Canis lupus familiaris: one gene and its partner. The protein of the gene in region 2 interacts with the protein of the main gene of each other region in a pairwise test. Links are inferred from orthologs where the notes say so. Each region holds a gene or a part of one and is shown on either strand. Other genes may lie near its edges.

Region 1 (4,301 bases), on a different chromosome or scaffold from region 2:
CCTACTCTAAATCTTATGGCATGGACCATGTATGAAATAACTTGGTATATAAATCATACAGTTATATACCACAAAACAAGGACTAGAAGCACGTTATTCTATCTATATTTGGCATAAACACTCCACTCCTCATTCTGGCCAATAGAAATTCTAAAGATCAATGACTGAAGTGTTGTTCTAATTCGCACTGTCCTAGAGGACTAAGTAAACAATCAAGTACTATGGCTAGTAACACTGCTCCACCAGTGCTTAGGATCCTTGTACTCAAAATTTTGGCAGTCATTAAATCAAGCACATTAGAAAAATCATGATCTGTGACTTTGTTTTTAATTATCTTAAACCTTATCACATAATGTACAAATTTGTGCTGATGACGGATCTCCTCTATTTTAACCTTTCTAAGGAGTTGGCAAAAGCACCATTACCAATCATACATACATGGTTAATTCCACATTTGTGTCACTGAATAGCTGTTTAGAAGACAATCCTGAATAATAACGTAGTCTTAGTCAAGAATTCACAAGCCAAGTCTGCTGCTGTATCTCCTCACACTAAATTTTAAAAGCGTCTGACCTTACAGGTGTATAAAACCCAAGTGTTAAAATTTTAATATTACGCACAAACCACACTAAAATGCCTTTCAATTAGCAAAAGGCAACATTTTAGATGCAAAGAATTTTAATTAAATTGGCATAGTTAAGACCAAAAAGATAAAGTGGACACTGCCAGCTTATCTTCAGCCATTGCCTTTAACAGGCTAGGGAACACAACTTGAAACACAGCTGAGTCTTGCTGTTCTGAGAGTGAAGGGATTTCCTCAGTATTTAAATATATTAATATAACCCGTTATATAAATCTAAATATAAAACCAATCTATAAATTTAGAGGTGGCATTTACCATCTCTGTGAAAAGCTACACATCTCTAATCAATTCCAATCATATTTTTTAGAAGGGGAAAACAGTGAGAGCACTTGCTGAACCAGAATTACTATCAAAGTTCAAAAAACTGATCATATTCATTTAACCACAAGCCAATCTTATTTAAATCAGGACTGTCCAAGAGAAACCTTCTATCAGCCACTCATGATCTGAATTCTGGTCAATGAGATCAATTTAAATATGGTACACATAAAAAAAAAGTCATGAGACATTTTTGTTTTGTAATAAATAAGGCGATAGCCAACTATTACTCCTTAGTAGCTTTTTTGAGATAAGCTATTAAGTCTGCTCTTTCCCCTGTCTTCTTAATGCCAGCGAAGATCATTTTTGTTCCAGGGATGTACTTCTTGGGATTCTCCAAATACTCCATCAGGGTCTCCTCTCCCCAGGTGATGCCTAAACAAGGAGGGACGTATTGTTAAGTATCTTACACTCCTGATAAAGGGCTTACCATTGGTTATATTCATGAAATTGTGCTTCTGTTATTTAATAACTGATCCCCCACCTCCCAGACCCTTACCTTTGTTCTTGTTGGCATCCGTGTAAGAAAATCCAGGGGCCTGACCGGTCTTCCGCCCAAATAAACCGTGGAGGTTTGGCCCAGTCTTGTGCTTGCCTCCCTTTTCCACAGTATGGCACTGCGCACACTTCTGAACAAAAATCTTCTTGCCCTTCTCAACATCACCCATTTTTCAATCTAAAAATGAAAGACTCCATTACTTTTTTCCTCCGAGTAAAAATCCAGTGAAAACCAACCAGTGGTCGCTCCAGGGACTGAATTACTAACCCATTGCAAATCTAGAGTATTAATCACCAGGGCGAATCTGGTTTTACTTAGTGTGCTGGCGACTGGCTCTCTAGGTACCAAAAACCACTAGCTGGAACGACTTCCCTAAATACACATCTATGTGTATTCGAGTGATAGAACTAAAGCCCAAGTAAGCAAAGTGGGAACCTAGTTCAAAAACGGTTTCAAAAGTTTGAGGTCAAGGTCACAGAAAGTCACAAATCTGAGTCAAGTCGAAAACCATGATTACATTAAACCAAAACTACCAAACTACCAAAACTTTCAGCTTTTAAGAAAGCCTATTTAATCAGACTGCAATGTGAAGCCACCTCTGATCAGTGAAAATACATTTACAAAACCCAAGTCCTGTGGTTGCTAACAGCCTGCTCGGGCCGGTATAAACGGCCCTGCGGTGCGGGTGGGAGGTCTCCCATCCGTCCGTCCTCCAGCTCTGGGCTCTCTGGAGACGCCCACGAGGTCACCCAATCAGGCTTTCAAGGAGACGGAGGGCACCTGCCTTCCCGAGATGCCTAGGCAGGTTAAGGGGGGAAAAGCGACAAGTGACTCGGAAGAAAAAGGGCTCGTTTTTGCAGGAGCGGTAGTTCCGGCCGCCTCTGCAGGAGGCCGTGGGGCGCTGCGCAGCCCCCCACATTCCCGCCCTCATCCCGGGAAGTCTGTCACTTCCACAGCCCCTGGGCCCCGGCTACGAGACCCCCGGGCCTCGGTCTGGGTTGGATCAGCATCCAGGCGGCTTCCGGGCTTTAAGGGCCCTGATCGAGCCCACTCCCCGTCCCAGCCGGCGTGCCGCCCCGTCTCCAGCCGTAGCCCACCGGCTTCTGGCCGGCCCCAGGCGGGGCGGGGGGGGTCACCCCTGGCCTTCCCGCCCCAGGTGCGCCCCACTCGCCGAACCCGGGCGCCGGCCTCGGCCAGGGCGCGCACCCCTCGACACAGCCGCGCGTCCCCGTGCTGCGGCTTCCCGCCCGGCGCTCACCGCCTTTCTGTCGCGCGCGCGAAACGAAGAAGCCCGCTCGCAAGCCGGACGTCCCGCTCTCTAAGTCCAAGGACACGCCGCTCCGCACCTAAGTACCGGTGTCGGTGCAACCGAACTCGATCCGTCCCTTCGCCGCCCGCCCTGCGGCTGCGCGGCCTGCTACGCAGTGACGTCACCGCGCCTCATTGGCTTCAGTCTCCAGGGCCTGCGTTAACGACCGGCGCGGAGGCCGGCCAGCAGGGTAGGGTGTGCCGCGCGGGTGCCCTTCTGCTCTCCCGCCGGCAGTTACGACAGGCCCCTGGATGTACGACAACGAGGCGGTGCCGGGAAGGGCTGACGTCGCCGTCCTGCCTTTCTGCGCATGCGTATCCCCAAGGGGAGGGTGGAGCGGAGTCGCGTGGTGGATGGAGGGCGTTGTTGTGCTAAGGTAACTGCTCTTGGGCTTGTTGACGTAATGCGCTTTGGGCGGGGGCGGGGGGGGCGTTTTGCCTGCCGGGAGGGGAACGCCCCAACTCTGACGCACGTAGAGGCCTCCTGGCTGCTGTCCGTGCAGCTGGCGGCCTTTCCGCAGTCTCTGTCCTGCTTTCGCGGCTGCCGCCAGCCGCACCCCAAAGCATCGCCTGGAACCCGGAGTTGTGAGAGTTGGACCTGAGCTCCCGACGTACCGCTTCGCCTTCACTCTGCTACTTCGACATCCCCCCCTTGACGGACACCCCGGGTCTGCCGCAGGGAAGCTGCCGTAGCTGCGGCGGAAGCTGGATTGTAGCTCGGGCCCCACAGCTGCCGGCTTTTCCGCCGACACCCGTCTCCCTTGCGTTTCTGTGCGGAACAAGGAGGATGTGCAGGCGCTAGCGAGGAGCCTTGTCAAGGGGCTAGAGCATTGTTGGAAACCTAGAGAGGATTTGCATCTCCTCTAACCTAGGCCGAATGACCTGTTCAAGTAAGATGTAATGCGGTTGGGGTCATATGACAAAGGCAGGTTTGATAACCACAGCTTCCGGGGATCATCCTTTTCCTCCAGAACTAGCTCTCCTTCCAGACATGCTCGGTTCTGTCCCTGGCAAATATTTTTTCTGGACTCCCTTGCCCCCGCTAATTCAGCCCCCGAGTTGTGAATGGGTTTTCCCCCTCCTTTCTCGTGTTCTAGCACTGCCGTTATTCATTCACAAGTGTTTATTGAATGCATATTATTTACCTGGAGTAGATCGTGGAGGACTCTTTCTCTGGTGGAGCTTACATTCTAGCCATCTTCTTCCTACTCCCAAGTTAAGCAGTAAACTTAACTAGATTACCTTACACCCCTTCCAGACCACGGGTACCATGATTTCTGCTCCAGACCATCCATCTCTCTATACGACCGGATTATTTTTTTATTGTTTTCTACGTCCTGATTTCGAGTTTCCTCTAATTGCACACACTAGGGCCACAAAAGCATCCTGTGAAACAGAAATCACACCTATTATGTTTTATAATATCTATGTATTCAAGTTTGGAAGAGACACACAGTATTTGCAGTTTACTCACAATACCTGAGGGAATTAGTTGAGAACAATGATAATTCTGCAGTTCGGTTTTCTATTCTA
Region 2 (3,643 bases):
AGAAAACCCAAGGAACTCACTTGCTTGCTGTTCCTTGAATATGATTCTAGTTGGTTTGGCTTCTTCCACCTTTCAGAATCTGCTTATATTTCTTTTATATGTAATTTCCCTGGTTTTCAGCCAGACTTAGGAAGAGGAATGAGGAAATGTACATCCATTTCATTTTTTTGGAGGTGGAGTTCTCCACTTTGCTTTTTAAATGTGTATGAATAATTATTCTTATACCCCAAATGTCCAATAACAGGCCAATAACCTTATGGTATTTTATGTAGCCACTAAAATAACAGTCACAGGACAATCTTATAGGTTTATTTGGATTGAAAATGCTTACATGACATAGTGAAAAAAGTAGTTTACTCAACTATGTGCATATGTAAATATGATTTCCATTATGTGGAAAAACCTATTATATGAAAGAAAGCTGGAAGCTCCCAAAATACTGATAACGGGTGTTTGGGGGTGGAATTGTAACTAATTTTTTCCCCTTTCATGTGCCAAATTGAGAAAAAAATGGAATCCTGTACTTTTATAATTACAAATAAGACATTTATTCTTAAATTTCCTCTTAGAAAGATACATACAACTGTCTTCCAAGATGTATGACATTTTGCATGGATTAGTTAAACTTTTGTATTTGAGGAGTTAAAAACTATTTTCAGCCTCGGTTTGTGCAAAATCAAACTATCGACATGGGTTTAGGCATCACATGGTTCTTATATCCACAGTTATAAGCCACAAAGCTATATTTACCATGCTAAAGGAATGAAACATATTTTATTTGGAGATTAGCAAGAAAGCTTTATAGACTCCTAGAATATCACTAATAAGCAGGCAGGAGAGGAAATGACAAAGCAGAAATATAATGGGGATGTTTAGAGGACAAATTTAGGGTAGAAACCCCTTCTTGACTTTTAGATTTGGATGCATCTGATTGAAGTCCCATCTCCTTTCCAGGACACTGCTGGCTTTGACTCCTCTATCCACTGCGCCGAGGGTTGAACATTCATGCACAGTAGTTTTCGACCGTGCAAATCAGATACGCTGAGCATGCCTCACAAGTGTTGCTTGATGTGCTTATTGTAGAACACGGGTTACAAGGAAGCCTGTGGAAATTTTGAAGTAAGCTTAACAAGGGAAATCCAGGTAAAATTTCAACTCAGAAAAGATCGTGCCAAAATTTGCCCTGCAAATGATGTTCTGAACACTCTTTGCAGAGTAGCATTTGACCTAAGCCTATTTCAGGCCTAGATTCAGCATTGCCACTAGGAATGCTCACTGCCCCTGTGCCAGTTGAATACACAGTTTTGTGTATTTATTTCACTTTGCAAATGTTATCTTATGCATGTTCCTGATTTCTCTTTGGTGGAAGTCAGGAACAAAGGGGGACGCCCAGCATGAAATTTTGTATGTGATACTTATTCTGCTTTAGAACTTTGGAATACTTTTGAATACTTCTACTGTCATGTGATTAGCCTCAGCTGTTTTTTTTGTTGTTGTTGTTTTGTTTTGTTTGTCTTTTTACTCTTGTAAGGAGATCATTTAACACATGAGGGAGGTTTCACCTTGGGCAGACCTTGAGGAGGCAAGATTCTCTTGCATGAGCTTCTTTGTGACTTGGGGGATTTTGAGAATAATCGTGTGGAACTTGCCTGCTGTCTTCACTCTCAAGGAGACCTCGGTATGTGTTGATCTCACCCTCCAGCAGAGCCTTTGTGTCCAGCAGCACCTCATACTCCTGGTTCTGCCGCTCCAGGTCACAGCGGATCTCAGCCAGCTGGTTCTCCACGTTATCAATCAGGCACTGCATCTGGGCCAGCTGGGTGCTATACTGGGCCTCCGTCTCTGCCACAGTGCATTCCAGAGACTCTGTCTGCAGAAGAAAAAGAGTATATTCAGAAGGGCTGTGTAGCATAGTCCTTGGGGCCAGAGTGCTGGTTTTCAAATCCTTGATCTACCCTAGTGCATCTATGTGACTTTGGGAAAATTACTTAGCTTCTCTGAGGCTGTTTTATTTTATAAAAAATGACCAATGCAAAGTACTTATTTCATAGGATGGTTGTGCGGATTGAATGAATTAATATGTGTAAAACACTGTGAACAGTGCCTGGAAAAAATTTCAAAACTGTGCAAGGGTTAGTTATTACTATCACCACTTGCCCATCACAACCTGTAATATATATTAAGGAAGATCAACAGCATTTGAGGGGAGAAGTTGAGTATGGACTTGGGGCAGGAAAGAGCCATATAGAATGGTTCAGAGAAGAGGCTCTGGGATTGAACCAGCTGGATCCAGCTTCCACTTTTGCCTCTTAACAACTGCATGAAAAAAAAAAAAAAAAAAAAAAAAACAACTGCATGACCCCTGCTACTTAATCTGAGTCTCAGTCTTCCTCATCTGATAATGGGTTTAGTAAAAGGATTTATCCCATCAAGTTATTATGAGGCGTTTAAGCCTCTCACAAGATAAATATGTAGCTATTATTCACCCAGATAGTCTCTATAGGCCCCAATGTGGCACAGACAGTGGTGTCTGACTGGAACTGGCTAATGTGATCTTCAATGCATGGTATCCTTTTTAAAAAAATTTTTTTTTAAAATAACCTCTATGCCCAGCATGGGGCTTGAACTCATGATCCTGAGATCAAGAGTCACATGCTCCTCTGACTGAGCCAGCCAGGCTCCCCAGTGCATAGTATTTTCATTGCTGGGTGAAATGGGGTGGAGTGAAGGGTCCAGTTGAGGTGTGGATCCTGGAAAAGCTTAGGGTAGTGGAAGAATGCAAAGTTTGAATATTATTCTTTTATATGATGCTGAGTTTGAGAAGTTGGCCCAAATCAAAGCACAATTAAAACCCACTGGAATGCTTCAGTGCCTTCAGCTCAGAGGTTCCACTCTCATTCTGCTCCTGCCCTCCTGTTCTTTTTCTGTCTCTGGAAGGTGCTGCAGGATCATGCTCAAGCCCAGGAGGGAAGGTCAGGGAATCCTGTTGGGACAGTACAGACTGTTGACCTATCACTTCTGCTTCTAGCTCAGTAAACAGCAGTATTTGGGTAAGTCAAAGAATACAATCCTTGCATATTGGAAATTCAGACTTTCTGCCACATGAACTGTGGATCTCTCCTTGGGTTCATGGAAGAGGGACTAGCATCTCAGGGCTTAATTCTTCAGTGACAAAAACAGAGCTGTCTTTCCCTTACATACCAGGCTTTGCTGTGCTTGGAGCTCAATTTCCAGAGCATTGGCTGTGCGTTTCAGTTCCAGGATCTCTGTCTGGCAGTCTTGCAGCTGCTCTGCGCTGCACAGCTGCTGCTGATTCAGCTCCTCTGTCTGTAAACCAGGTATGATTAGAGGATGCAAATAAGGCAGAAGTCTGGAAGCTTGTCATTTTCTTGCTCTGGGTACTGACCTGAACAGCAAACCATTCTTCCACGTCTCTACGGTTGTTGGCCAGCACGGTTTCATACTGACAACGCATCTCTTCCAGGACCCTGTTGAGGTCGATGGTGGGGGCAGTGTCCAGCTCTACACTGAGTCGGTCACCCAACTGTCCACGAAGCAAGTCAACCTCCTGAAAGAGGAAATGGAGTAAAGAAAGTCACAGAGTGGTGGGGAAGAAGAATTCACCTTGACATCCCAAGAGCAT

What was found. The genes of interacting proteins can lie anywhere in the genome.
Region 1: the proteins of KRT40 (region 2) and CYCS interact in binary tests that used the Homo sapiens proteins (3 or more experiments, as listed by UniProt). The two-hybrid records come from large-scale screens. The link is inferred for Canis lupus familiaris from reciprocal best matches to the Homo sapiens genes KRT40 and CYCS.

What each region holds. Positions count from the first base shown.
Region 1 is NC_049235.1:38,663,680-38,667,980, forward strand, and holds CYCS (cytochrome c), read right to left. Parts: upstream 2,845-4,301; 5' UTR 2,719-2,844; intron 1,638-2,718; 5' UTR 1,630-1,637; coding exon 1,461-1,629; intron 1,337-1,460; coding exon 1,188-1,336; 3' UTR 309-1,187; downstream 1-308. UniProt on the Homo sapiens protein: Electron carrier protein. The oxidized form of the cytochrome c heme group can accept an electron from the heme group of the cytochrome c1 subunit of cytochrome reductase.
Region 2 is NC_049230.1:21,662,795-21,666,437, reverse strand, and holds the end of KRT40 (keratin, type I cytoskeletal 40), read right to left. Parts: exon of another isoform or gene 3,569-3,643; coding exon 3,407-3,568; intron 3,339-3,406; exon of another isoform or gene 3,328-3,338; coding exon 3,202-3,327; intron 3,051-3,201; exon of another isoform or gene 2,938-3,050; intron 1,871-2,937; coding exon 1,650-1,870; exon of another isoform or gene 1,532-1,649; intron 1,144-1,531; exon of another isoform or gene 1,104-1,143; coding exon 1,004-1,103; 3' UTR 525-1,003; downstream 1-524. UniProt on the Homo sapiens protein: May play a role in late hair differentiation.